7 linked regions of the Xenopus tropicalis genome follow. The protein of the gene in region 1 interacts with the protein of each later gene in a pairwise test. Links are inferred from orthologs where the notes say so. Each region holds a gene or a part of one and is shown in the gene's direction. Other genes may lie near its edges. The genes, in order: lnx2, lrrc8e, ptcd3, mylip, scly, c7h10orf88 and map2k5.

The links.
Region 2: the proteins of lnx2 (region 1) and lrrc8e interact in a two-hybrid assay, tested with the Homo sapiens proteins (3 studies listed by BioGRID and IntAct). The link is inferred for Xenopus tropicalis from reciprocal best matches to the Homo sapiens genes LNX2 and LRRC8E.
Region 3: the proteins of lnx2 (region 1) and ptcd3 interact in binary tests that used the Homo sapiens proteins (3 or more experiments, as listed by UniProt). The link is inferred for Xenopus tropicalis from reciprocal best matches to the Homo sapiens genes LNX2 and PTCD3.
Region 4: the proteins of lnx2 (region 1) and mylip interact in binary tests that used the Homo sapiens proteins (3 or more experiments, as listed by UniProt). The link is inferred for Xenopus tropicalis from reciprocal best matches to the Homo sapiens genes LNX2 and MYLIP.
Region 5: the proteins of lnx2 (region 1) and scly interact in binary tests that used the Homo sapiens proteins (3 or more experiments, as listed by UniProt). The link is inferred for Xenopus tropicalis from reciprocal best matches to the Homo sapiens genes LNX2 and SCLY.
Region 6: the proteins of lnx2 (region 1) and c7h10orf88 interact in binary tests that used the Homo sapiens proteins (3 or more experiments, as listed by UniProt). The link is inferred for Xenopus tropicalis from reciprocal best matches to the Homo sapiens genes LNX2 and C10orf88.
Region 7: the proteins of lnx2 (region 1) and map2k5 interact in binary tests that used the Homo sapiens proteins (3 or more experiments, as listed by UniProt). The link is inferred for Xenopus tropicalis from reciprocal best matches to the Homo sapiens genes LNX2 and MAP2K5.

Annotation. Positions count from the first base shown.
Region 1 is NC_030678.2:155,380,850-155,385,035, forward strand, and holds part of lnx2 (ligand of Numb protein X 2), read left to right. Parts: intron 1-336; coding exon 337-474; intron 475-1,267; coding exon 1,268-1,445; intron 1,446-2,027; coding exon 2,028-2,256; intron 2,257-4,186.
Region 2 is NC_030679.2:134,127,499-134,132,246, reverse strand, and holds the start of lrrc8e (volume-regulated anion channel subunit LRRC8E), read left to right. Parts: upstream 1-1,765; 5' UTR 1,766-1,910; intron 1,911-4,748. UniProt on the Homo sapiens protein: Non-essential component of the volume-regulated anion channel (VRAC, also named VSOAC channel), an anion channel required to maintain a constant cell volume in response to extracellular or intracellular osmotic changes.
Region 3 is NC_030677.2:17,803,594-17,806,895, forward strand, and holds part of ptcd3 (pentatricopeptide repeat-containing protein 3, mitochondrial precursor), read left to right. Parts: intron 1-434; coding exon 435-524; intron 525-1,508; coding exon 1,509-1,537; intron 1,538-1,897; coding exon 1,898-2,004; intron 2,005-2,572; coding exon 2,573-2,651; intron 2,652-2,744; coding exon 2,745-2,835; intron 2,836-3,029; coding exon 3,030-3,115; intron 3,116-3,302. UniProt on the Homo sapiens protein: Mitochondrial RNA-binding protein that has a role in mitochondrial translation.
Region 4 is NC_030682.2:92,603,110-92,608,038, reverse strand, and holds the start of mylip (E3 ubiquitin-protein ligase MYLIP), read left to right. Parts: upstream 1-1,729; 5' UTR 1,730-1,882; coding exon 1,883-1,969; intron 1,970-4,929. UniProt on the Homo sapiens protein: E3 ubiquitin-protein ligase that mediates ubiquitination and subsequent proteasomal degradation of myosin regulatory light chain (MRLC), LDLR, VLDLR and LRP8. Activity depends on E2 enzymes of the UBE2D family.
Region 5 is NC_030681.2:126,384,145-126,388,330, reverse strand, and holds part of scly (selenocysteine lyase), read left to right. Parts: intron 1-102; coding exon 103-267; intron 268-672; coding exon 673-779; intron 780-950; coding exon 951-987; intron 988-1,164; coding exon 1,165-1,248; intron 1,249-2,703; coding exon 2,704-2,803; intron 2,804-3,395; coding exon 3,396-3,471; intron 3,472-4,186. UniProt on the Homo sapiens protein: Catalyzes the decomposition of L-selenocysteine to L-alanine and elemental selenium.
Region 6 is NC_030683.2:20,240,037-20,243,161, forward strand, and holds part of c7h10orf88 (ATPase PAAT), read left to right. Parts: intron 1-685; coding exon 686-1,062; intron 1,063-3,125. UniProt on the Homo sapiens protein: ATPase that regulates mitochondrial ABC transporters ABCB7, ABCB8/MITOSUR and ABCB10. Regulates mitochondrial ferric concentration and heme biosynthesis and plays a role in the maintenance of mitochondrial homeostasis and cell survival.
Region 7 is NC_030679.2:117,515,965-117,520,845, forward strand, and holds the start of map2k5 (dual specificity mitogen-activated protein kinase kinase 5), read left to right. Parts: upstream 1-1,570; 5' UTR 1,571-1,630; coding exon 1,631-1,765; intron 1,766-4,038; coding exon 4,039-4,087; intron 4,088-4,881. UniProt on the Homo sapiens protein: Acts as a scaffold for the formation of a ternary MAP3K2/MAP3K3-MAP3K5-MAPK7 signaling complex.

The DNA of each region.
Region 1 (4,186 bases):
TGAACAGCGGCAGAGTTTGAGGGGTTTTGTGGGTTAGGGTGAAATCAAAAAAGCCTGTGCACCCAGCTTCTGATTCAATAAAGTCATAAAGTTCTGAGTCAACAAAGTAGTCTTTCTGGTGTGTTTGGTGCTCAGTTTTGTATGACAGTTGAATATGCTGTGAATTTGGAGACTAGAGTTTTGCCTTAGGGGGCAATAAGGCTGCTAATCCTTACAGTAGTGGCTGACTAAAGTATTATACTGGCTATGATACAACTAGTAATAGGGCAACAGATAACAGATAAAGTGTTTGTGTGTGTGTAACTCAGTTTGTCTTGCTTTCTATGTCCTGTATAGGGCAGTGGGGAGCGTGTGAATTTAACTGTATCTCGACCTGGGAAGCACCAACCTGGGAATATAACCAGAGACCTGGGGATGAACCAGCCCCACCATCACACACAGCAAGTGTATCACCACCGGCCCAGCGCACATAAGGTAATGGCAACACCTGTACAATCATCCTTAGAGATATCTGTCCCTGAGGATTGCGAATTTCAAACTCCCATCAATCCTATAGCATCTGGCAGCTTTGTATCTACAGGGCCTTCACTTTCTTCTACAGCTGCTCTGGGCTGCATGATAAACATCTTTGGTAGAAATATTGTAGCCCCAGTATTTTATATCTGAAGTGTAAACAGCATTTCTGGCAAGTTCACATGGATTTAAGGGGGGCGTCCCAAGAAAATATCTCTGAGGCCTTGCCTGCATTTCAGTTGGTGCTTAGCAGCACTTGACATGCATACAAGGTGCATCCAGCAGTGCTCAGGCTTGTATTTTATATATGGGACCGAAGCCTGGCGTATGGTAGAGCCATGTAAGTACTGTATCTTAAATACTGTATACAGAATAAGCACCCCTGAGCTCCAGTGTTTATGGCAGCACTTGCCATTTTGGGAAATATTGTGGGATGGAAAGCATATCTAATTTTATAAACACCTCCCAGTGTACATTTATATTACTCACAATAATGATCCTGCACTAGGCTGTATAGGCTGTTGTATATGGCAGATGATATGGGCCAGTACTGATGTTACAATGGGAGGCTGAGGTCTCCTCTTTAGAATGTATTTTTTCTTGTTTTTAAGTTTTCACTAGAGTATCAGCTCCCAAGGCTATTGCTTAGCAACATTTCTACAAATAGAATTTAATGAAAGCAGCATAGGGCATAAGAGATGTCCCTGTATAAATAAAACCGCATTCTAATTGCAAACGCCTTTGCTTTCCCAAGGATCTGGCACAATGTGTTAAATGCCAAGAAAAGCATATTACGGTGAAGAAAGAGCCCCAGGAATCACTGGGCATGACGGTGGCAGGGGGAAGAGGCAGCAAAAGCGGAGAGCTGCCAATCTTTGTGACGAGCGTCCAACCCCACGGGTGTCTTGCAAGGGACAGCAGAATCAAGCGAGGTGCGCGGGCAGCATTACCAGCCATTACACACTGATACAGGGACACTACAACACCAGGCCAGAGCTTGGCGGCACAGTATATTGTTGCTAAAGATTTTACAACCCCAAGTGTCCCAGGATACCCAACAAAAAAATATATGGGGGCTCCCTTTCTGACACACGACTCAAGGTTCCCCCTGCTCCATCATCCCTGCTCATATTCATTTAGCTGCATGGGCCTGGGGAAGGGGAGGATCACTAGTGCTTACAGCCCCTGCTACAATGGACTCTGCTCCCCTGTTGTTCTACCCATTAAGCCTACAGCCGGGGTCCCTCATATAGTTGTGCTGTGCATCTATACATATTCATTTCATATAGAGGTATGGGATCCATTATCCAGAATGCTAAGAATTACTGGAAGACCATCTCCCACAGACTCCATCGAATAATTTCAATTTTAAAAAGTGATTTCCTTTTTTCTAAAATAGTACCTTAATTATAAGATAATAGGTCCTATATGTTCATATAATAGAACCATATATTACACGTATAGGTGGCATTATTGCTTATATATTTAATATTGACTCCTGCTTTCTTGTTAAGGGGATGTGCTGCTGAGTATCAATGGCATTGATCTGACCAACCTCAGTCACAGCGAAGCAGTGGCCATGCTGAAAGCCAGCGCTACCTCCTCAGTGGTCTCTCTGAAAGCCATCGAGGTGGAGGTGATTGAGGAGCAGACACCAGGCAAAGAGGAAATGAGCACCGTTAGTGAGAATGAATATGATGCCAGTTGGTCTCCATCATGGGTAATGTGGCTGGGCCTCCCCAGGTTTGTGCCTATAAATGTTTATTTATCATTCTTTATTTTTATTCTGCAGCTCTTTACCCATAGCCCTCCTGTAGTGTTACAGTCCCCATTTAAGAAACCAGAAGGGTTTGTCCTTGTTGGCCAAGGAGATAGCTCAGTCCAAGGGGAAGATGCTACAGAAAAAAAGCCCCACAAAGATAGATGTTGACGTCCCTTGACGTTAGCTTTATCTGCCATTGCAACTGAAAGTATGAAAATGAGTAATAGTTTCTTTTTAAAATATTTATCCTGAAATGGATTTTATTTTTCTGCTGTTCACTGTTCCTGTATGGACTCCGGCACTCTGGTCCTTTTTCTATTTTTAAAGGCCACATTAGCAAGCTCTATCAGTTGGAGTGCACTGTTAATATGTATTTCTACTGAGTGGCGTATTTCTCCCAGCACCTCAATTATCTCTCTTCATACTCCCTCGCTCTTGCGTGAAGCGTTCCCTCAGCCCTCGGCCTCATTTGGTAGGGGGAGCTGCCTCAGCCTTGCAATAGCTGTAATGAAATATGTTCCTTGTGGGTAAATAATGGGCAAAATACTTTTTGCACTTTAACCCTTTCAGTGGGTACGTTTAGTCTTGCCGCGCCACACGTTATGTATTAAAAGGAAACCTGGAACTGTAGAATATGCAGTGTTGGCACAATAGTACTTTTATGTCAGCACTATAGATTCTATGAGGGTGATGTAATAAAAGGCACTAAGTTTGTCCAGGAGCAGTAACCCATAGCAACCAATCAGCAGGTAGTGTTACTGATCACCTGTTTAAAAGCAAACATCTTATTGGTTGTTATGTTTTACTGTTCCTGGGCAAACTTAGTGGCTTTTATTACATATGGGGGGGTCTGGTGTCATTTATGGTGTTTGCCATGCGAGTGACGTCTGCACCCAATTCTTTAGGCTCCTATTGATACAGGGCATGGTCAGGAGGTGGCAGTAGCTCCAGGGCTCCCCTGTGCCTCGGGGCAGTAGCGCCTGATTCAGAACAGAAGGCAGGAAAGACTGAGCAGCGCCAGGCCCAACTCTACGGAAGTGCAAGGAGCTCATTTTTATGCAAGAACCTTTAATGAAAGTGGCTTTATGCACAACTCACTGCAGGGGAAAGCCCAAGTAGCCCACTGCAAACATAAATACGCCCTATAATGTACAGGTATAGAATATATTATGAAGAATGCTTGGGACCAGAGGTTTTCCAGATAAGGGATCTCTCTGTAATTTGGATCTCCATACCTTAAGTCTGATAAAATCATTTAACATGAAATAAACCCAAAGGAAATCATTTTTGAAAATCAGAATGATTTGATTAAAGTGGACTCTATGGGAGACGGCCTTCCTCTGATTCCGAGTATTCCAGATAAAGGATCCATTACCTGTACTGTGATTCTTGTCACTTAGCTCCACTAAATAACTGAACTGCCTTTTGTGTCAGGGGGCATTAGAACCATCAGTTCATGAGTGAATGAATCCATAAAAACATGTCATGTATAGCACATGGGGGCACAGAGCTGCTGTTATGCTCCTTCTTACTGCACTTACTGGAATTCATATAATAAATACAGGGTGATTTTCTCTTTTAAAGTGCTTTTAGTGTCTTCATTTACTGTAATGTTCTGTAGGACTGAGTTATTCTCACCATAGGACTGAGTTATTCTTACCATATTTATTTACCCATATGTATGTATTGATATGTGTGGGAGCTGCCATGCTTTTGCTCTGAGGAACAAGGAACCCTCCAACACTGCTTCTAGGGAACGTCAGGTCTAATCACCATTTCTAACAAAGTTAAATTGGTGGTTCAGGTTATCCAGGGGCATGGCAGTTCCCCTTTGAAGATTTGTCAGAAGCAATGTTACTGATAGGCAGCAAGCAGCAGCCATTGCTATAGCCTTGTGTAATCGCTATGTAC
Region 2 (4,748 bases), on another chromosome or scaffold:
GGCACAAAATAGGCAGACACTATAACTGTTCCTGTCTGAATTTGCTCCTAGTGGGGGCAGTTTCAACCCCATCAGATGGCAGTCAGTGAGCAGGTGTTTCCCACTGGATTATACTGTAGGTGCCAGTCATGCCTGGAGAGCTAAACACATACAGATTTCATATTGTGCAGGGATAACCAGATATTACCCTGGTTGCATCCTATGGAGCTCCACCCACTGCACATTTATATGACTGCTAATAAGCCATGAGGGGAATGTGGCATCTGTTTTCCTCCACTAGTATAATATTTTTGGGTCAAAATCAGCCCATGTGTGCACTGGCAGGTTGGCACTGTGTGTTGGGGAGCAGCCTGAGGATGGGGTGCAGCACTGGCAAACAAAGTGGCGGCTCCTCACTGACTTGCTGAGCAGGTGACAGTTAATGGCAGACAGGGGGCTTACAGGTACCACCTCTGTGTCAGGCTCAAAAACACTGCACTCCCATTGGGTTGCATGGGAATTGTACACTATCCTTGTCACACAATCGCAGCCTGGAATGCACCACTCCGTGTGGGTCCCATATCTTTGGGTGGCCCAAAAATGTCACCTTATTTGACCTTAATGTGGGGTGGATTTGGGTGCTTCTGCACTGGTTTGCAGCTTTTTAAAAGCAAGTGTGTCATTACCATAAAGGTAAGGGGGCTTAATTACTCCCCTGTGATACAATTCTGCCCTCCCTTGGGATGATCTTGTGCCCTCCCTTGGGATACACTTGTGCCCTCCCTGTGATACACTTGTGCCCTCCCTTGGGATACACTTGTGCCCTCCCTTGGGATACACTTGTGCCCTCCCTGTGATACACTTGTGCCCTCCCTGTGATACACTTGTGCCCTCCCTGTGATACACTTGTGCCCTCCCTGTGATACACTTGTGCCCTCCCTGTGATACACTTGTGCCCTCCCCTGTGATACACTTGTGCCCTCCCCTGTGATACACTTGTGCCCTCCCTGTGATACACTTGTGCCCTCCCTGTGATACACTTGTGCCCTCCCCTGTGATACACTTGTGCCCTCCCTGTGATACACTTGTGCCCTCCCCTGTGATACACTTGTGCCCTCCCCTGGGATACACTTGTGCCCTCCCCTGGGATACACTTGTGCCCTCTCTGTGATACACTTGTGCCCTCCCCTGTGATACACTTGTGCCCTCCCTGTGATACACTTGTGCCCTCCCCTGGGATACACTTGTGCCCTCTCTGTGATACACTTGTGCCCTCCCCTGTGATACACTTGTGCCCTCCCTGTGATACACTTGTGCCCTCCCCTGGGATACACTTGTGCCCTCCCTGTGATACACTTGTGCCCTCCCCTGGGATACACTTGTGCCCTCTCTGTGATACACTTGTGCCCTCCCCTGGGATACACTTGTGCCCTCCCTGTGATACACTTGTGCCCTCCCTTGGGATACATCAATATCTATGCCAATGTTTTCCTTGTACAAATGGGCTACAGCGACAGAGTTGCTCAGACTTCCCAGACAGTCGCACCTGACTTTCCCCACTCACATTGATAACTTTGCACTCTGCACCATGTCTATATACAGACTATACTAGAATATATCAGCTTATTGCCCCCCCAAGCCTCCACATCTGCCCCCTCCCTCCCTGCCCCAGTCCCACAGCTGCATCTCCCTCCTACTCTAATGACTCTCTATAGGTGGCTGTTTGGCTGGCCCCGCCCCCTCCCCTTACCGCCCCGCTCACCCCTCCCACCCCCCATCCCCAGCCCGGACCCGGCAGGCAGTACCGGTACTACTGTCCCAGCTGGGAGCCCTGTGCCCGGAGCCCACAGGAGCCGTTCCGCCCGGAGGGATGTCAGACTGGGTAACCCAGCAGCCGCCGCCGCCGCCTCCCTGCAGCTGATCCCCGGCCGGTAAGTGCGCCCCGTGTGTGGAATGAGTGGGGGAGTGAGAGCCAATCTCTCCCAGTAATAGGGATACTGCCCCCCCAATCCGCAGCCGCTCCGGGCACTCGGGAAGCGCAGGGAAAGTTGGCGAGTTGTCTGTGAGTGCGATTCCTGCTCCGCATTGGCACCCAGCGCTATATTGGTACATCCCTCGGGCATGGGGGGTTGGAGTTATGGGGCCCCGGAATACTCGGCCGAGCCCCTGCCCTGCGTCTCCTACAGAATCGCTTTGCTCCCAGGCTTGTAGCGACAAGGCGCTGCCTGATTATTTGGGTTCTTATAAAAAGAAGCGTTAACTCAGGAGCGGTGTCCTACCTACCCACCTACCTACCTACTTATCTACCTACCCACCTACCTACCTACTTATCTATCTACCCACCTACCTACCTACTTATCTACCTACCCACCTACCTACCTACTTATCTATCTACCCACCTACCTACCTACTTATCTATCTACCCACCTACCTACCTACTTATCTATCTACCCACCTACCTACCTACTTATCTACCTACCCACCTACCTACCTACTTATCTACCTACCCACCTACCTACCTACTTATCTACCTACCCACCTACCTACCTACTTATCTACCTACCCACCTACCTACCTACTTATCTACCTACCCACCTACCTACCTACTTATCTACCTACCCACCTACCTACCTACTTATCTACCTACCCACCTACCTACCTACTTATCTATCTACCCACCTACCTACCTACTTATCTACCTACCCACCTACCTACCTACTTATCTACCTACCCACCTACCTACCTACTTATCTACCTACCCACCTACCTACCTACTTATCTACCTACCCACCTACCTACCTACCTACTTATCTATCTACCCACCCACCCACCCACTTACCTACCTACCTACCTACCTACATATCTACCTACCCACCTACCTACCTACTTATCTATCTACCTACCCACCCACCTACCTACATATCTACCTACCCACCCACCCACTTACCTACCTACATATCTACCTACCCACTTACCTACCTACATATCTACCTACCCACCTACTTATCTATCTACCTACCCACCCACCTACCTACATATCTACCTACCTACCCACCCACCCACCCACCTACCTACATATCTACCTACCCACCCACCTACCTACATATCTACCTACCTACCTACCTGGGATCTGTCTGCATTGAGTATATTGTTGGACCATGACTCTCAACATATTCAGCTCCCAGCTGAGAGATGCAGTTCAGCCTTTAGCAGTTGGCAGGTTTCCCATCGCTCAGTTCTAGCTGGTGCTTTATGGGTGTAACAGATACATCTCTATGGGATAAGTGCTCTCCTACCTACTCTCCTCTAATAGGGATCTGGAACCTTCTTACTGTAACTCCTATTAACATCTTGGTGCCTTATTGCCCCCTGTATCGGGTTATTATAGCGACACTGCCCCGGTGCCTTATTGCCCCCTGTATCAGGTTATTATAGTGACACTGCTCAGTGCCTTATTGCCCCCCTGTATCAGGTTATTATAACGACACTGCCCTGGTGCCTTATTGCCCCCTGTATCGGGTTATTATAGCGACACTGCCCGGTGCCTTATTGCCCCCCTGTATCAGGTTATTATAACAACACTGCCCCGGGGCCTTATTGCCCCCTGTATTGGGTTATTATAGCCACACTGCCCTGGTGCCTTATTGCCCCCTGTATCGGGTTATTATAGCAACACTGCCCCAGGGCCTTATTGCCCCCTGTATCGGGTTATTATAGCGACACTGCCCCGGTGCCTTATTGCCCCCTGTATCAGGTTATTATAGCGACACTGCCCCGGTGCTTTATTGCCCCCTGTATCAGGTTATTATAGCGACATTGCCCCCTGTATCAGGTTATTATAGCGACACTGCCCCGGTGCCTTATTGCCCCCCTGTATCAGGTTATTATAGCGACACTGCCTGGGGGCCTTATTGCCCCCTGTATCGGGTTATTATAGCGACACTGCCTGGGGGCCTTATTGCCCCCTGTATCGGGTTATTATAGCGACACTGCCCCGGTGCCTTATTGCCCCCTGTATCAGGTTATTATAGCGACACTGCCTGGGGGCCCTATAGGTTTCAGGGGCCTACCTGCTGCTATAGCACCTTATTCTAGTAACCCTGACTTTTTGCCCATAGTGAGTTATTGAACCCTGATTCTGGGTGCTACTGTGAGCTACCTGCCCCCCTAAACATCTAATAGTAGTAATAACACCAGTAGCCCCATGACCCAGTTGCCTTGTTGCCCCTGTAGCCCGCTCCCTACAGTAAGTGGTTATAAAGTGCCCTATTGCTCCTGTCACCTGATTGCAAGCTAAATCTAATTTATTGGCTTTAATTCCATAACCCGCCCTCAGTGTAATCGGTGCCAGTAATGCCCATCGCCCCGGCCCATACATCCCACTGCCTGGCTGATCTGCCCCACTGCCCGGGGTATATGGTAATTAATATGAAATGAACGTTACCCCTCACCCTGCATACATTTCATTATCAGCCATCCCAGCCACACCCCCGATTCCTTATTGGCTGCACAGACTTCTATCCCTTATATTGCTGACTGGGATTTTTAAAGGCCATGTAAATCCAAAAATATAATTAAAAAAAAGTGTAATTCTAAGCAACTTGCCCTATATACAGTCATTGCACCTTTTTACTGGTTTTGACGTTATTTGTAAATGTCATTTCTACCGAAAGCTGTATATGGTCATCCCTTTCATACACTGCTGGTTCTGACTCTTGAAACAATTATATTTTTGGGGCTTTACCCCCCTTAATAGGTTCATATTGACT
Region 3 (3,302 bases), on another chromosome or scaffold:
GGGAATAATACGAGTTCTATTGGGGACTTGAGAACTGCAATAGCTCCACCTCTTCTGAGTTTATTACATGTATAGATTGCCAAAGTTGTATTTAATTATAAGCAATCTTGTGACTGTATGTACTTGTAATAAATACAAATCATAATAAATATTCTAATAACTATCCAAGGGCCATGAAAGGGGCAGTAGCTCCTGCCCAGGCCAGACTACATGAAAGCTATTACATGTATGAGTTACCTTATAGTATGATGTAGAGAGTGCTATCCCGAGACAGTTGGTCTTCGTTTTTTTTATTGCCCCTGAGCAAGGTGCTGTGTGTAGTATCCCTCAGCTGTGAGACCATCTACATGCACTGGTTTGTATAGGAGAGAAGGGAAATAATGGGCACAGATCTGCCACACACCTACAATCTACCGGCCTTTGTTGTTTTTCAGCTTTATCTCCAAGGGGCCAGACTGAAATCCTTTCTGAGGTGCTGGATGAGATCGAAGGCAGAAGCTTTACCCTGCGGGACCCGGATGATGGTAAATACTGACCCTTTTGTGTCTACTGTAATGTGACCTGATATTTCCCCATTGTATGGAACCCCTGTGCCTCTCTTGGTACTACACTAACTAACTGCATTCCTATAAGCCCAGTGTGGCTTCTGATTGGCCCCGTTATTATTAATATACGTAGGACAGCACTGTACAGATTATACATTTTTCCCATCAGTCCCTGCCCATAGACAGGCCCGGATTTGTGGAGAGGCCACAAAGGCCTGGGCCTAGGGCAGCACAAATCTGGGGGCGCCCCGCTGCACCCAAATCTTTTTGTTCCCATACGGAGCAATAGGAACGTCTCCCCACTGCTCCGTATGCAAGTGTGGCCTTCCGCGCATGCGCACTCCAGGGGGGTGGGGTTGCGACCGGGGGCGGCCAGTTTGGAAATCCGGCCCTGGCCATAGACAGTACTGAGAATTGCCTCTGCTAAAACACAGACAATTATCAGTAAATTATCAGCAGTGCCTATATTTGTAGCCATGACATGTAGCTCTGTGTGTCTTCAGCCTTATAGTTGACTGTGTCAGAATGCCACCAATACGATTTAGAGCTGTGGAGTCTGATATGTTCCGACTCCAGAGCCCTGAATACAATGTCTGTAGCTCATGTAGGCAACTTTCTTACTATGTGTTTTAATAAACTATGATCCCCAGCCAGCGTTGGCTGCTGCCTGGTGGCCCCCACACCTCATTCACAAGCTCTCCCCCCCACAGGAGTACATAGTTCTGGACTGCCAGGGTGCGGGGGGAGCCAGCTGGGCTGGCACTGCCCGTAGAGCCCCCCAGGTTTTTTCCCAGTGTTCTGCCGACCTTGTCCCCAGCAGTAGGGGGCCCAATTGAAATGGCTCCCTGCAATCCTTGGGAATACCCACTGTATCTTTCCTATCCATTGATTGGTGCATTTAACCCCTGCACTTACTGTACATTCCTGGTCACCAATGCTATGTTTCTCTTTTTTTCTTTCCAGTGTATTTTTTCACAAATGCGATGAGAGTGGTAAGTAGAGATAAGGCACAATTAGTCACATTATGTGGTTATCATAGTTCCTTACAGAGTCGGACAGGTTGCCCAGGCTGGTTGCTTTTCTGGAGTAGCATTGACGCCTTGTATGAATGATTGTGGGTGCTGATATAACCATAGGGTGAGAAATACTGTTACTGAGCAATATCCACTTTAGTAAGGTGGCACGAGGGGCATGAGAGGGGGCAGGAAGGCTTATTGCTGGGCATACACATAATAATTTCCTTGCACGCTGTGGAGTAGGGTATAATTACTGTGTTGTGGCTGGTAGATGCATAGAAAAGAGCAGAGCAGTGAAAATTAAGTGACCCTTTTGTTTGTTTTTTTTAAATTCAGTGTTTGGACCTGAAGGACATTGAGCTGGCCTACCGGCTGCACACACTGCAACAGACTGCTGATAACAGAGGGCTAATGGGAGACTTCTACCTGCAGAGCACATACTAGTGAGTTGCATTGTCTGTATGTCCCCAGGTTGTGCATAATCTGTAAGATGCCCGTAGCTATAAAGTACCAATATCCATAGTTAGATAGATAGATGTGCAGAGTCAGCCAGTTATTTTGGCCCTTGTCTGTTCCGCTTAATAGCCCATTAGGTAAAAATAGGACTGATTAGTGTCTACCAGGTGCAGGTTCTTTTCCTGAGAAGCTCCAGTGGTCTAATTGCATTAGTGGATTTTTTAGCATTGTATGGCGGCTACTTGCTAAAAGGCTACAGTTTATATCTATGTGTACTCGGGGCCACCACCATTGGTGGCTAACAGCCCCCCGGCCACTGATCAATCCAGCACAGGCCTTCCACTTCCGCTGCAGGCAGGACAAGTTGGTGGGAGGGAAGCCAGCAGGACCAGGCCCACAGGGATTTTTTTCTGGCATTCAGCGGGCTTTCCTGGCTTCTTTAATAGCATCTCCCATTGTGCTTTGTGAGCTTGGTGCAGACTGTACTGCTGCTCACCCGGTGCGCTCCCTGCTTAGTGCAACAATGATGCTTCTAACACTCATTCTGTTTTACAGTGGCAGGTTCTTTAACCTCCTGTGCATGATGGAGAGCATCGATATCATCCTGAAGTGGTACCGAGAGCTTATCCCCTCGGTAGGTCCATGTTATGACTAGTACCGCTCACCATTTTGAATAAAATTGCCTCAAATCCTCTTTTGTTAGTAATGATAACATGTTCCTTTCTAGCTGTATTACCCAAACTCCAGAGGCATGCTGGACCTTCTGCAGGCACTTGACATGGACAATCGCTTGGACTTGATTCCTCAGATCTGGAAAGGTAAGTACAAACACTCTTGGTCACTGTGGTTTATTTGCCATGATGAGCACACAGTGAGCATCCAGAAGAGAAAGTCAGAATCCATTCCCAAATGTTACCCTGATCGGTCGTTTGGAGCTCCTCAAGGGCGTGGCTTTCTTACAGTTCGGGAGCCTGAGCCGTACATGATTATGATGTGATCTTTCTTTCATCAGATATAAAACAGATCGGACACAGTAACAAAGTTGAATTGGTGGAGGAAGTGTTGAACTTGATGGCCAGAGACATACAGCCACCAGAGGTGAGACCTGAACATGTTCCTGTCTGGGAATCCATGACAGTGTTACCTGGAGGACCCTGCAGTGTTGCTCAGGCCCCCGTATCCTCTATCTTGCACTAACCCTGAGCCTTCATGCTTCTTTATTTTGCAGTTTTAAATTGGACTTCGTATCTCAATAGCTCATGTGATATAACTCCTCCCCTTCCTC
Region 4 (4,929 bases), on another chromosome or scaffold:
TGGACTGACTCACCAGCTACTCTATTGTAACAACCGTTACTCTCTTAACCCCCTTTCTTTCCCCCCCCTCCTTTTCTCCCCTTCCCCATTCCCACTGTTGTTGTAAAACTCAATAAAAATCAACCTTAAAAAAAAAAAAAAAAGCACGATACAAAAAAACCGTATAAAATACATTTGAAAATACGGAAAAATTGTATATGATTGTATAATGGCCAAAAAGTTAAATTTTTTCGTATCTGAATGATCGTAAAATGCAGGAAAACCTTTCTGACTTTGAACCTTCAGTGCATGATTTTCGAAGCCTCCCATAGGACTCAATGGCACTCTGCAGCTCCAACTTCGCCCAAGGAAAATCACAATACTGTAGCTTGAATAAATCCAAAACTTTCGTACTCGGCCCGACAATGCGATTTTGTACGAAAAAGTCACAGAAAATATGCAAAAGTTGAAGCACCAGCCCGGGGTATCTGCAGCGCTTCCTCCATCCTGTATCGCTCGCACGCGCATGCGCAGTAGAGTGAATAGTGGAACTTTAACAGAGAAGTCGGCTTTTCACTCTACTGCGCATGCGCCTATTGTGTTAGTTGCAGCAAAACGAAGAAGGAAGGAGGAAGCGCATCGCTCCAGGTACCCCGGGCTGGTGCTGTTTTCTCCTAACAGGGGCACCAGCCCGGGGTACAACGTAAGCAATTAAAGTCACTTGGGGGTGCTTAACATTTTGGCACCCCCAAGTGACTTAGCCTTTCCTTCTCCTTTAACTTTTAGTATGTTATAAAATGGCCTATTCTAAGCAATTTTTTAGTTGGCGTTCATTATGCTCCTCTTCTGCTAGTGATGCCCAGGTTCAAGTCTCTGATAGGGTTTGCTTGCTCTGGTTCAGGTGGGTGGCAGGTCAGATGCCTCAAGAAACCCCTCCACTTTTAGTGATGTCAGTGCTGTTGCCCCTCCCTCTCAGGATGTCACTGACAAGTACCATTGGGATGTTATACAGTACAGTAGAACATAAGGATCTGGGCTCTGACTGGCATTTAAAAACAGGTTATGTATCTGCGTCAATCTTCTGCCTCTTTTAACCTGTGGCTTGCAATATAAAATGCTATCTGGTTAAATTGTTACTTGATATTACTTCTCTTTATTTTCCCCTCTAAAAAGTACTAAATTGTTGTGAATGTCAGACCTAGTTAGTGAAACTCCCAGCAGTCCCAGTACATATAAACAAAAGGTAAATATCGGCAGGGTTCCACACAATGGGTCTCTATGCTGTGTGATTTTTAAGTTATTTTTAATCTTTGCGATGTCAGACCATTTTCAAACATGGGATCAAAAACAAGGACCATCGATCGTGGTATCAGACTGATAACAACCATATTTTAGATTATGATGATAATTTATTACTTTTCGAAAATGAAGAACAAATTAAGAAGAAGAATAACAAGAAACGGAAAAGCTGGCAAGCTGCACATGTAAAGAGCACTCAGTAGCCAGCAGACTGTCTGTGCTTGTACAGAAGCGAGACAGTACATGCTGTAACCCCATGCCAGCCCCTCACCGCCGAAGGTCCTTTCTAAACGCAAGCTCCAGGCTCCGGTTACAGTATTCCAGCGGCCAGAGAGCCAATAAGCGTGCGGGGGCGGGCCTTGGTGAGGAGGAGGGCATAAGTAAGTTACAGGCAGTGGGAGGGTTATTATCAGACTAGTGATATCCTTGTGCTGATGGTGCTGGAAGCAAGCGCCCTCCTACGCGCTTTTTATACATGCACATACAGTTGGGTGCATACAGGAGACAGGGTCGTCGGTAATTTAGGAGCGGGAGAGACAGCACGGGAGGCTGTCTGTTAGGCTTCAGTGAAGCAGAAGGATCCTGGCATCCCCCCCGTACTGCCATGCTGTGCTATGTGACGAGGCCGGATGCGGTGGTTATGGAGGTAGAAGTGGATGCGAAGGCGAATGGAGAAGACTGTCTCAATCAGGTAATTGGGTTCGAGACGTGACCCTTGTGGGAGCCATGGGTGCTTGTATGTAGGATCATCCACAGTGAGGCAAGTTTCCCATTCGTCAGTGCTCTGAGGCTGCCTCTCATTCCACTTCTAATACTTGTTTGTCCTATGGAGCTTTGCGCCCCAGCACTTACCTCTGTGCAGAATAACAGCACCCTGGTGCTCCTAGTTAGCAGGCCTACGCTTCTCTAGCCTTGGGCTATCAGCCCTGTGCCAAACGTCTGGGCTAGCTTGTCTCATTTGTATTCACCCAAACACACCAGCTAAGTAGGAGAGAAGAGTACGCATACCACCTGGCTACTTACATACATTCACCTGGCCCTGTGTCCTGTGCCAAATGGGACTCCCAATGTATAGCAGTAACTTTCAGTCTGATGCTGTTGGGCTCCAGCTTTCTATTCTGTTTATTATAAAAGACTGGCCAGCAATATAAAGTATCTAAATGGTTTTTTATGTATTCACAGCTGAACCTGGTGGGGTTTGCATGCTTGGTTTGTGAAGCTCTGTAGAAAGGTAAATGTGGTGCTGACAGCTGACTGCAATGGCTCATTAACTTTGTTAGCAGTTACCTGTTAGGAAACATTTGCGATTATTGTTATAAGTGACACCGAGATGTGTTGATTTATTGTGGTATAAATCTATGAGGAAGAGGTGAGCTTTGTGCATATGTGGGTAACGGAAGAAATAAGGAAACAAGATGTGGTGTAGTGCAAGGTCTGCGCCATTACTGATGCAAGAATGTCCCTCTACTTGTAAATACCACCCTGCACCTCAGTGTGCAGCATGTTGCTTAGGTGTGTGTATTGTGTTGTTGGGCTTATGTAGAAAATGTACATAACATTTCCTGAAGTTTCACAAATAAATATAAATGTATATTTTTTTTACAGAGATTTAACTGATTCCAAAGGAAAACATGATTGCCTATCCTGGTTCCCAGAAATGAGTTCCCCATTCCTCTAAAAAGCTTGAAGACTCTCTGCTTTCCAGAGATTCTGTGCAGCACCCACTGTGGAAAGCAGAGGGACTTCCAAGTCCCAGAATCCATACCTTTACAGTGAAACAAGATGAAGTGGGGGTTGCATTACATTGCAAAGATTTGCTGGGAAATGTTTAGTCCAAGTATCATAGTCCGTAATCAGTTATGTGTATTAAACAAAAAAAAAAAAGTATATTTATTTGTGTAAGTTCAGATAGTGTTTATGCACATTGAATGAGCTTATATAAAAAAAAGGCGGTGTATTTTCTCTTTAAATGTATTCCTGGCTCTTGTCACTGAATGAATCTAAATGAGCTTTCTCGGATAAGGTTACTTAAGATCATTTTTTTTTTTTTTTTAACACATTTATATTCACAACATCAGGTGTAGTTCATAAAATTGCCTTTAGAAAAGAGAAAACCATTCCTCATTTTTGTATATGGGTGTCCGTGCAAATACATATATACATTTGGCTTCAAAACCCTCTACTATGTAAATATAAACTATTTTGCAATTCTTGGTAAACAATTTTAAACCTCTTTTCAACATGCAGCCCTGTAACTATTCCCAAGGATCTTTTGTTTTAGGTAAATATCAACCTTTGCAGACTGTAGTATATCATCTAGGTACAAAGCTTTTATTCTAGGATGGTTTGTGCAGAATCGTGACCCATGTTTTAGCACAACAAGGAGAATTTAGGTTGTGATAGAAAGAACTTTCTATTCAGTAAGGGAATACAACATTAAACTAAAAATAATTTGTGCTGTACATATAAGGGCCGTGACAGATGGGGAGATTAGTTGCTGCGCCTTTTGAGGATACTTCAGCGATTTTGGCGCCGCATATGCCATCCCACCGGCGATTTACATTCTAGCCGGTGGGATGGCATTTTCGGGGAGATTTGACGCGCGGCGACTTATCTCCACGTCTGTCATGGCCCTAAGGGTGAAGACACACAGAACTACTTAGTAGCAGCTACTAAATGCCCTAAATCCCCTGCCATAGACAGTACTAAAAATTGCCTCTGCTAAAACACACACAGAGACAATTATCAGTAAATGATCAGCATTGTCTATTTTTGTAGCTGTGACAAGTAGCTGCTACTGTAGCTCCATGTGTCTTCACTCTTAGGGCAGTGGCACACGGGGAGATTAGTTGACCGCAATAAATCTTTGTTACCATGAGCGACTAATCTCCCTGTAATGCCATCCCACCGTCAAGAATGTAAATCGCCATTGGGATGAAAATATGCTTCGCTTCTGTTTCCCGAAGTTGCCTCCCAAGGAAACTTCAGATGACTTTGGGGAACCAAAGCGATGCATATGTCATCCCACTGGCGATTTACATTCTTGCCGGTGGGATGGCATTTTAAAGGAGATTAGTTGCCCGCAATAGCAAAGATTTATCCTGGACGACTAATCTCCACATGTGCAACTGCCTTTGGGGTAAGAACCCACGGTGCAAGTTACTTGCTTTTCACTGGCAACAATAGAAGTCGCGGAAAGCCCTTCACATCACTTCGGTAATCTGAAGTGGCGTGAAGTTTCCTCCTGCAGGCAACTTTGCGTGACTTAGGAAAATGAAGCAATGTGACAGGCTTTCCACTGGCGACTTCCTTTGTTGCCAGTGGGTGAATAACTCGCTCTGTGGGTTCTTACCCGTATAGTTTAGGGCTCTGGCACACGGGGAGATTAGTTGCCCGCGACAAATCTCCCTTGTCACGGGTGACTAATCTCCCCAAACTACCATCCCACCGGCGAACATGTAAGTCGCCGGTGGGATGGTACACGCTGCGAAGGCGATTTCGGCAAATCGATAAAGTTGTCTCGCGAGGCATTTTCGGTGATTTGCCGAAATCACGCCACCGCGTGTGCCATCCCACTGGCGACTTACATTTTCGCCGGTGGGATGGCAACTCTGGGAGATTAGTCGCCCGCGAACAGGGAGATTTGTCGCG
Region 5 (4,186 bases), on another chromosome or scaffold:
GGCAAATATTTTGTCTTTTATAATATGTGGAGATTGAAGCCCTAAAGTGTTATCTCCATTTGTTGTTTATATTAATACAATTTACTTACTTGCTTTCTGCAGCCTGTGGGTGAGCTGTCCCAGTGCCTGGCTTCCATGTCAAAAGAGCGATCTGCACAAGGGCTACCCAAGATCCTACTGCACACCGATGCTGCCCAAGCCTTGGGAAAGGTGGAAGTGGATGTGCAAGAACTGGGAGTGAATTATCTCACTATTGTTGGACACAAGGTATTTAGACAATTGGACAATAATTATACATTTTACTTTGAATAGTCCTTTTGCTGTTCCGGGTCTTTGGTGAGATCTTATACCCAAAATAATGATGCTTTCCTTGGTCTCTCTTAGTCTCCATTTATGTTATTTATTGCATCTCAGGGTAAACAAGTTAATTATAGTGCACAAGAATACACCCAATGGTCTCACTTATATAGTCATACTAATATGTCATTGCAGACAATGTGCTATTCTCTTAACAATATAGGGTTAAAACTACAGATGAAGTTTCCTGTTTACTCATCATAGCAACTACGGTGCAAATAGCTGCTGTGCTTCAGGAGCTGTTGGGTACAGAAAGGTTGGCATTTTTGTGTGAGAGGGAATATTTCATGTTTCATCTTCCGTTTGTTATTGCAGTTTTACGGGCCACGTATTGGAGCCCTGTATGTTAGAGGCCTTGGGCAGCATTCTTCTTTGCTTCCCATGCTTTACGGAGGAGGACAGGAGCGCAACTTCCGCCCAGGGTAAATGGAATAATCAGATCCCTGTTTCTGCACTGCGCTAAAATAAATAGATTGTTACCCAACATAGTTTGCTCTAACAATCTCCATAGAACCTCCAGGCTTGGCTTTCAGCTTTTTGACAGTGTGCTTATGTTGACCTGTATCTCACTCATTGTTTGTTTTTTTCTTCAGAACAGAGAACACACCAATGATAGCTGGGCTTGGAAAGGTAAGGCTGCAAGACATTGATATTTTCGGATACGTTGCTTTTAGTTGGGTCTTCGTCAACCATAAAGGCACAAAACTGAGTGTATGTTGGGGGGTGCCACACAAAATTAATATATGTGTTTGTGTATAGTTGTTGCATAATACCTTTGACTGATCGAACACACTTTGGTCCCTGTAGGCTGCAGAGCTTGTGTTCTTACATTGTGCTGTTTATGAGGCTCACATGAGACGCATACGGGATTATCTGGAGGAAAGACTGGAGGTGAGAAAAATCAGATTCATACTAATGAAGAAATTCTCAGATTGTTGGAACACTAGTTGTGCACATGCTATGCTTGCAAATGGATATTCAGTTTAAACTTCACCCTATGATGTGACAGCATAGTTGCATGTGTTTGGAATACTGTATGTGTAGCATCATCCTAACCTGTTTTCCCAGAAACAATAACTCAGAATCAGAATTGTAGTCGCCTGCATAGAAGGCTGCTTTACATTCATTAGTCGAGCATTAGCTGCCTCTCTGTATAACGAGGGGGCCTAAATCCTGGATATATACTTGCTCGGGGTGGGGTATTCTTTATTATACAGTGAACAGTTACCTTACCTGATTCCTTCATGTGACCTATGTGGCTTTTTCTTCTTGACACAGCAGTGACCTAGATAAATGTATGATACCACTTCCAGTGAACCCTGAGTAATGTAAAATGCATTACATAGAACTGCAAGGATATGATCGCAGCAACAGTAGCAGAAACGATTCAGACACATACAGCTAAACCACAATGTTACATCCCTTCATTTTTTGTTTTGTTAGATTTTATGGTTTTTTGCAGTCGCTTCATGTTTAATGCATTTCAAACAGAGCATTCCCTAGATTTTTCCTACATTTTACATCATAATTTTGGCCCAGTTTCCATGTTTATTTCATGTGAATGTTTTTGGGGAAGATTTAGTCATCTTTTTGCAATTTACTCTAATTTTACAGGCAAACTCTGATTTTGCATTTTGGTGCATTTTATGTTTTTCTGCATTTTACTTTTATCTGTCCCCTGGAAAACATAAAATATGGCTGTAATTTAAATGCAATATACTAAATACTACTGCTATGTAACACTGCCACAAGGGGGAACTGTACTGCACACTCATTACACCTTATATGCACTATTTAACCAAAATTTGTTGGAGTATGGCTTTTTTTATAGGCAAGCAGCTGCACAAAAGCCTGCCAACACCATCTGCAACACCAAGTATCACACAGAGTGGTGTAGGGGTCACCACTATAGCACTGTGGAGCAGTTTAAATGTGTTAATAAAACCTAGCTTCATTTAAAGGTCTCATGTATATGGATGGTTTGGGCTCATGATAAATGATCTGATATCAGGCCAAGAGCTGACTGCGATATAAGCCTTTGGGGCAAGGAACAACGAGCCAATGTTCTCCTAGGCCCAAAGGAATTTTTAAACTTGCCCTATCGACATGGTTACTTTTGACCAGATATTGGTTGGGCAGGCCCGTCTGAGGTTCCCATAGGGGCCGATATGCTTCTGACATCTGTTGCCAGCTTTAATCGGCCCGTGTATGGCGACCTTAACGCTCTTGAGGCTGATTGGAAGCAGATCCTATCCAACAATGTAAAGCTTAGTGTAAATGTTATATACCGAGCAGAGTTTAAACGTTGACCTTAATATTATAAACTAGTTGTGTCTACGCTTACAGGCTGTGTTTGAAGACCGAATCCGATTAAACTCTAGGTTCCCTGGAGCCGAACGCCTTCCCAACACCTGCAACGTGTCACTTCTGAAACCTGCTATGCTTGGTACCTCTCTCATCTACATCAGATTTCTGAGATGATTGTTTTCCTGATAATTATTCTGTCATATCATGTTTAAATATAATAATCATAGTCTGCAGTAGAGTAAAGGAATTCAGTACAGTTCCTAGACCAATAAGAGGTGAAAATGTCCCTACAACTTTGAACTTTCACTTTCAGAGGACAGGAAAGCAAAAAAAATACAGCGTTTGGATAAAGTACAGCAGCTGGTGTGAAAAGAGAGATGTGTGTGATTAGTTAGGGAAGAACCATTGGTGTGTGAATACATTTCTCATTGCAGAAAGAGAGGACAGAGAGCTAGGATGAGTAAGTTTACTTAAAGAGGTTTCAGAGCTTGATTGTGGGAAACAAGGGTTCAGTGCTAGAGGGGGTTGAGGAAGTTTGCAGAAAAGTGCTAAGAGCAGTCGGTTAAATTCCAATGGGTAAAGTTACAGATATTGGGCGTGGCAGAGTGCAGACAGCTTTTGAGGTCAGTAACAGGCCAATTAAATCAAATTAAGCTGGAAACTTAAAATCCTTTGCTGATTTTCTTGCTCTTCCATGCTACTAACCACTGCTCATATGTCTTTCTGTTTAGGGCACGAGTGGCTCTCTCACTGTCAGTACCTTCAGGCTAGCATTGGAGCAGCGTGTCATTCAGACCGGGGGGACAGGTGAGCCACAGTTCTGCTTCACATTTCAACTGGACACTGGCATTTCCGGATACATGGCTGCATATATTTCTACTCCCCTTTATATTAATTTATGGACACTGGCATTTCCGGATACATGGCTGCATATATTTCTACTCCTCTTTATATTGATTTATGGACACTGGCATTTCCGGATACATGGCTGCATATATTTCTACTCCCCTTCATATTGATTTCAATAACTGTAAATGTATAAAGAAAGATACCAAACAGGAGATATACACCTGTTTATCAAAAGGAAACACTTGACTATACAAGGAAGTTAAGCTATATGCATCCACCTAGGTGTGGTTACTGGGTTATTTCAGCACTTAATGTGGTTGTTGTAGAGCATTCACAAATCTAACAGTTCACAATAATAGAAAAATCTTTGCCATATACATAGTTAATAAAAAAAAATGTGCAGCCGAAGACATATTATAGCAGCAGGAGCCAGTGAAAATGCCAAGAGTAATGCCAAAGGGAATATGTTCACCTCACACAGCAGAAATCAGAGACACTAATACTACAGTGGAGTTGCAGTGGGCTTTACTGTTCCAAAGCTAAATTACTAATGCTACATTATATGCTTTCTCTCTTGTACTGATGGGCATACCTAGTCCTAGCCTTGATCAATTGAAATACTGTAAAAAGGGAATAACAAAGTTCCATGAAATAACTATACTGCTATACTCTG
Region 6 (3,125 bases), on another chromosome or scaffold:
AAAATCGTATTAGTCACGATAATATCGTATTGGCGATACGAAAGTCACAAAATTTTTGTACCGAACCATTGTAAACAGCAGTAAAACCTTTCCAATTTTTTCGCGCAAGTGTACGAAAAAGTCGTGCGGCGTTCAAAAAAGTTGTGCTGTGTACGAAAAAGTCGTGCGGACGCCCAAAAAATTCGCCAAAAATACACTCGGAGCGTTTGAATGTACGCTCCGAGCGTTCGTGCTTTTGTAAATGTGCCCCTATGTGTTGGGCCATTTATTTTTAGATCTCACAATTAAGGTTCTTTCCTAGTGGAGAATTAACTAGCTATGTTGTTTAAGAGTTACAACAAATTATGCTTGTAATAGCAATTACATTTATAAATGACTTCAAAACCCTAGATAATGTTTAATTAACTTTGGAAAGTTGCTCAGAATCTCATTTTTGTTTATTGTGCAGTCTTTTATGTTTTGTGCAAAGAAATGTAATACATATCTATATCTAGATATATAAACACACATGTATATGTATTGGATTGCTCTCTATACCCCAGAGCTGGATCCTTTTGCCAGAGTGATTTTGCCAAATCCCCAACAGTTAATGCCAAGGTATTGTGAGAGGAGTAGCAAATAAATCCCTTACTGTTAAGTTTATCACCTTAATAAACCTTAATAATTGATGTTTTTTTTCTTTAAGCACCAGAGTCCATTTGGCGCACACTTTCTGCAGATGTTGAGCGGCTATGAACAAGGTGCGGGGAGAAATACAAAGGGTGCCGAGCCCAAGCTTTCCAACTTGGTACATAGTCAGTTGCCCAGTACTAGTACGGAAATCACGCATACTCAAATCCCAGAACTTCCAGTGCTTCAAGAACACAGAGCCCCAAAAAAGTTGGGGCTCCCAGCCTGCGATGTTACATCAGCAGTGTCCTCACTCCTGCAGAATCCATTGAGCGGCTTAGGTGGGACAAGCCATGAGTCTTTGATGCCACTTTTGCACAGCTTGTGTTTAGACAAAAACCTTCATACATCTAAGCAACGTGAAGACAAAGAGGAGCCCTGTGTGCCAGCTAGGTGAGTAACAGGCATTTGCTGGGGTAGAGAAGGGGCCAAGCAGATACATGTAAGTTAGAAGTCGGCTCACAGGTGATGTCTAAGGGCAGTGAAAAGATTGTTTAACACTTCACAAAGCCTACTGTTCTACTGAGACTGCAGCACTGTGTAAGGGCTCTGGCACACGAGGAGATTTGTCGCCGGCGATTTTTAAAAGAGCGATTTGGCGACAAGACGCCAATGCTAAACCAATGGAAATCGCCAGCGTCAAAACATACGAGGCTACTTCAAGTCGCCTGCTGTTTCAAATCGCACACAGACCCTTTTCTGAGCGACTTGAGTAAACATGTGGGAGGGGTAACTGTTGAGTGTACCATGGGTAGCAGATCGCCTGGAGCTCAACTCGCATGAAATCTCTTCGTGTGTATTGTCGTGGCGACTTGTCGAGGGGAAAAAACGCAGGCGACAAATCTCCTCATGTGCCAGAGCCCTTAACTGAATTAAACCAGTCTGCTGTGCACAATTTAGGGCTCTGGCACACGGGGAGATTAGTCGCCCACGGCAGAACTCCCTGTTCGCGGACGACTAATCTCCCCGAGTTGCCTACCCCTGCCATCCCACCGGCGAACATGGGAGTCTTTTTCGGCGATTTCCTGAAATCGCCCCGCCGCGTCTGCCATCCCGCCGGCGACTTACATGTTCGCCGGTGGGATGGCAGGGGTAGGCAACTCGGGGAGATTAGTCGCCCGTGAACAGGCAGTTTTGCCGCGGGCGACTAATCTCCCCGTGTGCCAGAGCCCTTAAAACTATTCACAAAAATGTCTGTAAAGAAAAATGTTGTATAAAATGTTTGTGCGCCGATTTATTTACAGATCAGTTTTCCAATTGAGACCTTTTTGAGAATCAGTTGTACAGACAACATTTTTACAGACATTTTTTTACACCAAAATGTCTGCCCCATAACAAACATGTTAATTTGGCTTAAGTCTGTATAAAGTTTTTGGAGCGCAACAGTTTCACAGTGCAATAAAGACCATTGTTTACCATGTATACAACACGTGTGGCAAATTTGGTGGCATTATGCCATCCATAAAACTAGATGATACCTTCTGTGAATATGTTGTGCTTACATTTTTACAATTTGGCGACTAACACTTTAAGAACTGTGTACTTACCAACAATTTTGTGAATTCCCCCCATGTGTTTGAAATAAATAAGCACTCGTCAGTTCTGGTTTTGGATTGTAGGTGGAGAGAATGTTGTAGACTTTTTCTCAGATACAATACCTGGCAATTTGACAGTTCATTAGATTCCCAAAACCTCAATTAAACTTACAGACAATAGGGAGTTTCTATGAGATGACGTGGAGGTAATTAAATGAGGGTAATGTAATATATCTTAGACACAGGGTATAGAATTTAAAATGTGGGACAGTATACCCTTTTCAGTGAATAGGGCATGTGCTGAAGATACTTTTTGCCTTTTGTTTTAAAGAAATATTGTTATTTCTTGCATTGTTGTGTAGGTCAACATTTCACTGACCCGCACCAAACCAAACCCACCCTATTTCACCCCAAACTAATTTATATACCCACACCCAACCTGCTCTTCTCAGGGTGGCCACACAAGCCTAGAGGAACTGGTGTCAGGGAAGCACACTGAAAAGGAATTAGGCGGGAACTATCCTGTGCATAGATTGGCTGCTACCTGCCAAAGGGCTAAATTTGTGGCCTAAAATCAGATTTGAGGGCACATGGACTTTAACACAGTGGACTGGGTAGTATGAGACTTATAGCAGTCGGTAAATGCCAAGAAGTTTGTTCTGAAATTGAACTACAGTCACCTTTGTTGAGGCAGAACTTGGCTACTGCATCTATTGGGATTTTGGTGAAAGAGCAGCTAAAATGTACCCATCCCTTACACAGACCAGATAGGAAATATGGGTGCTCCAACAAATGTGTAATATTTAAAAGGAATACATTTTAGCCCAAATGTAAATTAGGCACCATATACAGGTATGGAACCTGTTTTCCAGAATGCCCAGGATCTGGGGTTTGCTGGATATGGGATCTTTTCATAATTTT
Region 7 (4,881 bases), on another chromosome or scaffold:
TAGCAGCTAACAGATAAACCCTGTAGAATACAATGGTGTCTTATCTGTTATCTGCTATGTAACCTGTGCGTTTTCTCCTTTTTTCCAGCCTGAATGGCTGCCCCTGTGGCTACACAGCAGCTTTGAGTCTCAGTTCGCCCAAGAGACCTGTTTAGTTTATTAGTTACAATGGATCTCAGTGCAGGTGTGGCTTGTTAGGCTAATGCCACACATAGCATATGGAGCGTATTTTCGGCAAGCCAAAAAATGCTTGCTGAGAATACGCTCCATACGCTCGAAAATGCCCCTACCTGTACCTGCACCCAAATGAATGGAATACGCTCGGGTGCAGGCACATGTAGCTGATATCCACCGAAAATATGAAGTCTCGCGTTTTTTGGTGGATATCGGCTACATGTGCCTGCACCCAAGTGTATTCCATTCATTTGGGTGCAGGCACAAGATAGGCTGAATTTACAGTAGCGAGGCGTATTCTCGGCAAGCGTTTTTTGGCTTGCCGATAATACCCCCTTGTGGCATTAGCCTTAATTTTCTGGGCTCTCTGCCAAAAGCTACTTTTTAATTAAGTTTGAGAAACATTTGTATCTAAATGCAGGTGAAGCTTGTTTAACTTTCTGGGCTCTTTGCCAAATGCTACTTTTTATTTAAATTTGTATCTTTTTTTTAGCGTTCAGTGCAGGGGATCAAATGAAAAATAGGGACGTTTCAGTAAGAATCCAGGACTGTGGGTTAAATTGTCAACGCGAAACCATACAGTTGGGAGCTATGCTTAAAGAGACACATTGTTTGTGTAGTGCACACAAGGGGCATGGCCAAATATTCTGGAACTGCATGCTTGTGTTTATGGGGGGGGGGGGGCCCATATAAATAACTTGTATGGGGCCCCAAAGTTTTGATGGTGGCTCTGATTGGAAGTTTTATTTTTTTGGGACACTAGTGATTTCCACATCCAGTTCAGGAATATTATTACAGGTTTAATGTCTTCATTCAGCACTGCATACATAAGTAGCTTTATAAATAAAGATATAAATACATTATTATTGGAGGCCAATAACACCAGGAACTAAGAATGCCCTAAATGAGTTCACTCATGATATTTACTTATTCTGCACTAATTCTTTAAATAAATATATATGTATAGAATATGTTGGTGTGGCAAACATTTTATTATTATTAGCCTTTATGCAGCAGCTTCAGATTCTCACTTGGCGAGGTGGCAAAAAATAAAAATAAAAAAAGATTCAGAAAAAATATACAAACGCTAAGATATTGCGCCCTGGTTAGCGGGGATCAGTGTAAGGACCTCAATTCAGCTGTCAGCGCTAAAGTACACGGTACACCCCTTGATAAAAAGCAAATTCTAACATATTTAACAATTACAATTGGCCACTAAACACTTCAACGTATTATCATCTCAACAGCTATGAAGTTATTTTTGATATACAGTTCACTACTTTTTTTCCCCTAAACAAACATGGCGATCGCTAGTCATAAAACGTCACTTTGCCCTATTCTAATATGGCGTCTTGTCCATTGCCTTCCTCTTCCCGTACCTTCCGGCGCTATGGTGTTTGGTTCCTAGGCTAGGTACTCCTGCGTCCCAAATGATGTAACCCGGCTACGGCCCGGGATGCTGTTATTTGGCTTCGGCCTGCCTCTGGACATGGATAGCCAGGCTCTGGTTATTCGGATACGAATCCCTGATGGGGGCGCCGTTGACTGGACAGTACAGCCGGCCACTCAGTTGCTGTTCCGGGACATCTTGGTAAGAGAGGGCCACAAGCAACACAAAACCTCTGTCACAATGACGTCACGCACAGCCCTCAAAATATTTCTGGGAATGGGGCGCCGTTCACCATTTTAATACAATTTTAATACTATAGGTACCCCACTTCTTTAATAACACCTGGAAAAATATTTTTCTTTTATTTTTATAATGGAATTAGGGATGTTTAAAACTGGCACTAACTATTATTATTAACATAAAGTGCCAACATATTCCGCAGCGCTGTACAATAAGTGGGTTTCATACATTGGACATACAGAGTAACATATAAAGCAATCAATAACCGATACAAGAGGTGCAGAGGGCCCTGCCCAAAAGAGCTTACAATCTACAAGGAGAAAGGGTTGAGACACAAGGGGGCACATTTACAAAAGCACGAACGCTCGAGCGTTCATGCGAACACTCCGAGCGTATTTTCGCCGATTTTTTCGGGGGTCCGCACGACTTTTTCGCAAGGCGCACAACTTTTTCGGACGCCGCACGACTTTTTCGGACGTTTGCACGAAAAAATCGGAAAGGTTTTACCGCTGTTTACAATTGTTTGGTACGAAAATTTAGTGACTTTCGGATCACCAATACGATATTATCGTTTCTAATACGATTTTTTCCCATTCGTGATTCGAATTTGTGGATTAGTAAATGTGCCCCAAGGTGTGTCTGTCACACATGTATATATGCACTTGTATTACTTGGCTTATTGAATAACTAAAAAAACTTATTTTATTTCTTTAAAGACAACTCAGAAAGAAAAACTCCAAACACTGCATGCAGTTATAGTGGCAGCCCAGATAGCTAACCTGCTACTGAAGCGCCCAGAGATGTAAACTTCTAGGTGGGAATGTTTGTGCTAATGGAGTTGCCCACACAGGCACACACATTACCAGTGGGTCTCAATGACCTGCTTTAGTAAGGTGTAATGTTCTGCTACAACAGGCAGTGGTAATTAAATAAGGTGCAAGTAATTCTAAGCCGGTTCTTTTGGGTCAAAAATCTGACTTGACCAATCAACTGAAATGAAGCGAGGCACAGGAACCCACACTAGAGAACACTCCCCTTGTAGAAAGGATGGTCCAGGTACACCAACCCCAGACCCTCCACTCAGGGAGCAGATAATCAACAGCAACAAGGGCCACAAAATTCAAAGTAAACAATATTGAAAATTATATTTAAAAGTTCATTGTCTCCAGTGGCCCTGCTTGTTTTGTTCCCAAAGGCACTTGGCCATGGGGTAACTGGATGCCCCCTGATTTGTTGCTGTACAAAAAGCTGACTCTGAGACTTGATACGGGTCCCTTGAGAGAAAATTAAGAAACACTGCTCTAGGGCATTTCATTTCTAGCCAAGCCACTGGCAGGATATAATTATCTGAGTAATACCAAGGTCATGTACCAATCAATATCTCAGGCACAGCTAGGCAGAACATTCTCTGTTGTTGTAATATTTAAACACTTTTCAAATGATTTTATAGTTTGGGATTTAGTTTTTTTTTTTTTTTTTTTTTAAATAAGGTACATTTTAATGCAAAAGATTGAGCACCCCATACCAGATTGCCTGTTTAGTTAATTTTAAAAATAGTAAATCACTACTGCAGGTACCAGTGCTTTAAAAAAAAAAACAGCATATTACCAAATGTTGATGCACTGTTAAATATTATTCAATGAACTTTAAAACATAGGAACAAAGAAAATAATAATTGTGGCATGTGGTCAAATTTGGACGCCCAAGTAAGTGCATTATTTTTATTCCCCCACCCTATTTTCCTCATACTATATTAGTCTGTGCTGCAGCCTACACCACTTGTTTTGGATTCTGCCACTCTGTGAATGAGCATTAGGTGTAGAAGGAATTTTAAAGTTGAGTGAGCCTCACCAGGGCCTATGAGAAGCAATGCCTTAAGGGAGAAAGGGTAGTAAAGCCCTCTGGCGTATTCATGGGCAGACACATTTACCTGTGTGTTTTTGATCATATTTCCTAATGACATAGACTGAAGCAGTGGGTTGGGCTACGCAAATCTGTTTTAAAGCATATACAAAAATAAACATTATTCTTTATGTGTTGAAATACAGGTAGAGCTAAAACTGGGTAGAAAATATATTTTTTCATGTGCTTCAGCTTTTTTGGCCCTACCCATTCAAACTTATATTGGACCGCCTCTTTTCATCTTTTTGCCACCTTTATCCCCAAATGTTTGGGATTTTCAGCTTATTATTCTTGTGTAGTTTCACTAATTCTGTATTTTCTATTCTTTTTAGGATGTGATTGGTCAGGTTCTCCCAGATGCAACAACCACTGCCTTTGAGTGTGAGTTACCCAAGCCCTCTAATGCTTGGATACATTTTGGTTCATTGGACCCTTGGACAAAGAATTTAACTGATCCTTTAAAGACCATGTCCACCCAAATAAAAATATTGCATAATGTAATTCTAAGCAACTTCAAACATACATGGCGTCTGGGGGCAGAGTGGATGGGAAAATGGGTTACAGGTAGGTTGAAGTGAGGGTTTGACAGTCTCAGCAATGTATTGCTGGGAGAAAGGGAAGCAGGACAGCAGAATGCTAGAACAGTTATTAGGTTAGTGTTACAATAAGGTAAGTGGTGGGACATGGCAGTATGAGGGGCAGTTGGTGGGCAAGAGTAGGGGGCAGCAGGATATCTGGGCGTACTGAAAGGGATCGTTTTGATTTTGCAGGCAGTTTGGAAGTAAATATTGTTCACCTTCTATGGGAGTACACCTTGCTCTTTACTGGACATACTGCTGTGTGGTGAAGTGTTTAAGGAGAGAATAGTAGAGCTTTAGATTGTGAAGCATGCTTGGTAGTGGATAAAGCTTGCTGATGAACACCAGGAATTTATAGTCATGACAGCAAGTATTACTGAACTGCTGCTGACAAAGCGATAAGTCATTTTTGAAATGTAAGTTGAAATGAAGGAAGTCATTATTTGACTTGTACTGTTTAAAAGCCAAAAGTTCTGTGAAGGTGTAATGCCTCTTTAAGCTGATCTGTAACATAATCTTATAGTGTTTCTAATAATCTTGATAGGTCAGAGTTTATAGTGCATCTACTTGGATCCTTATAATCAAAGAAGGAGTAAA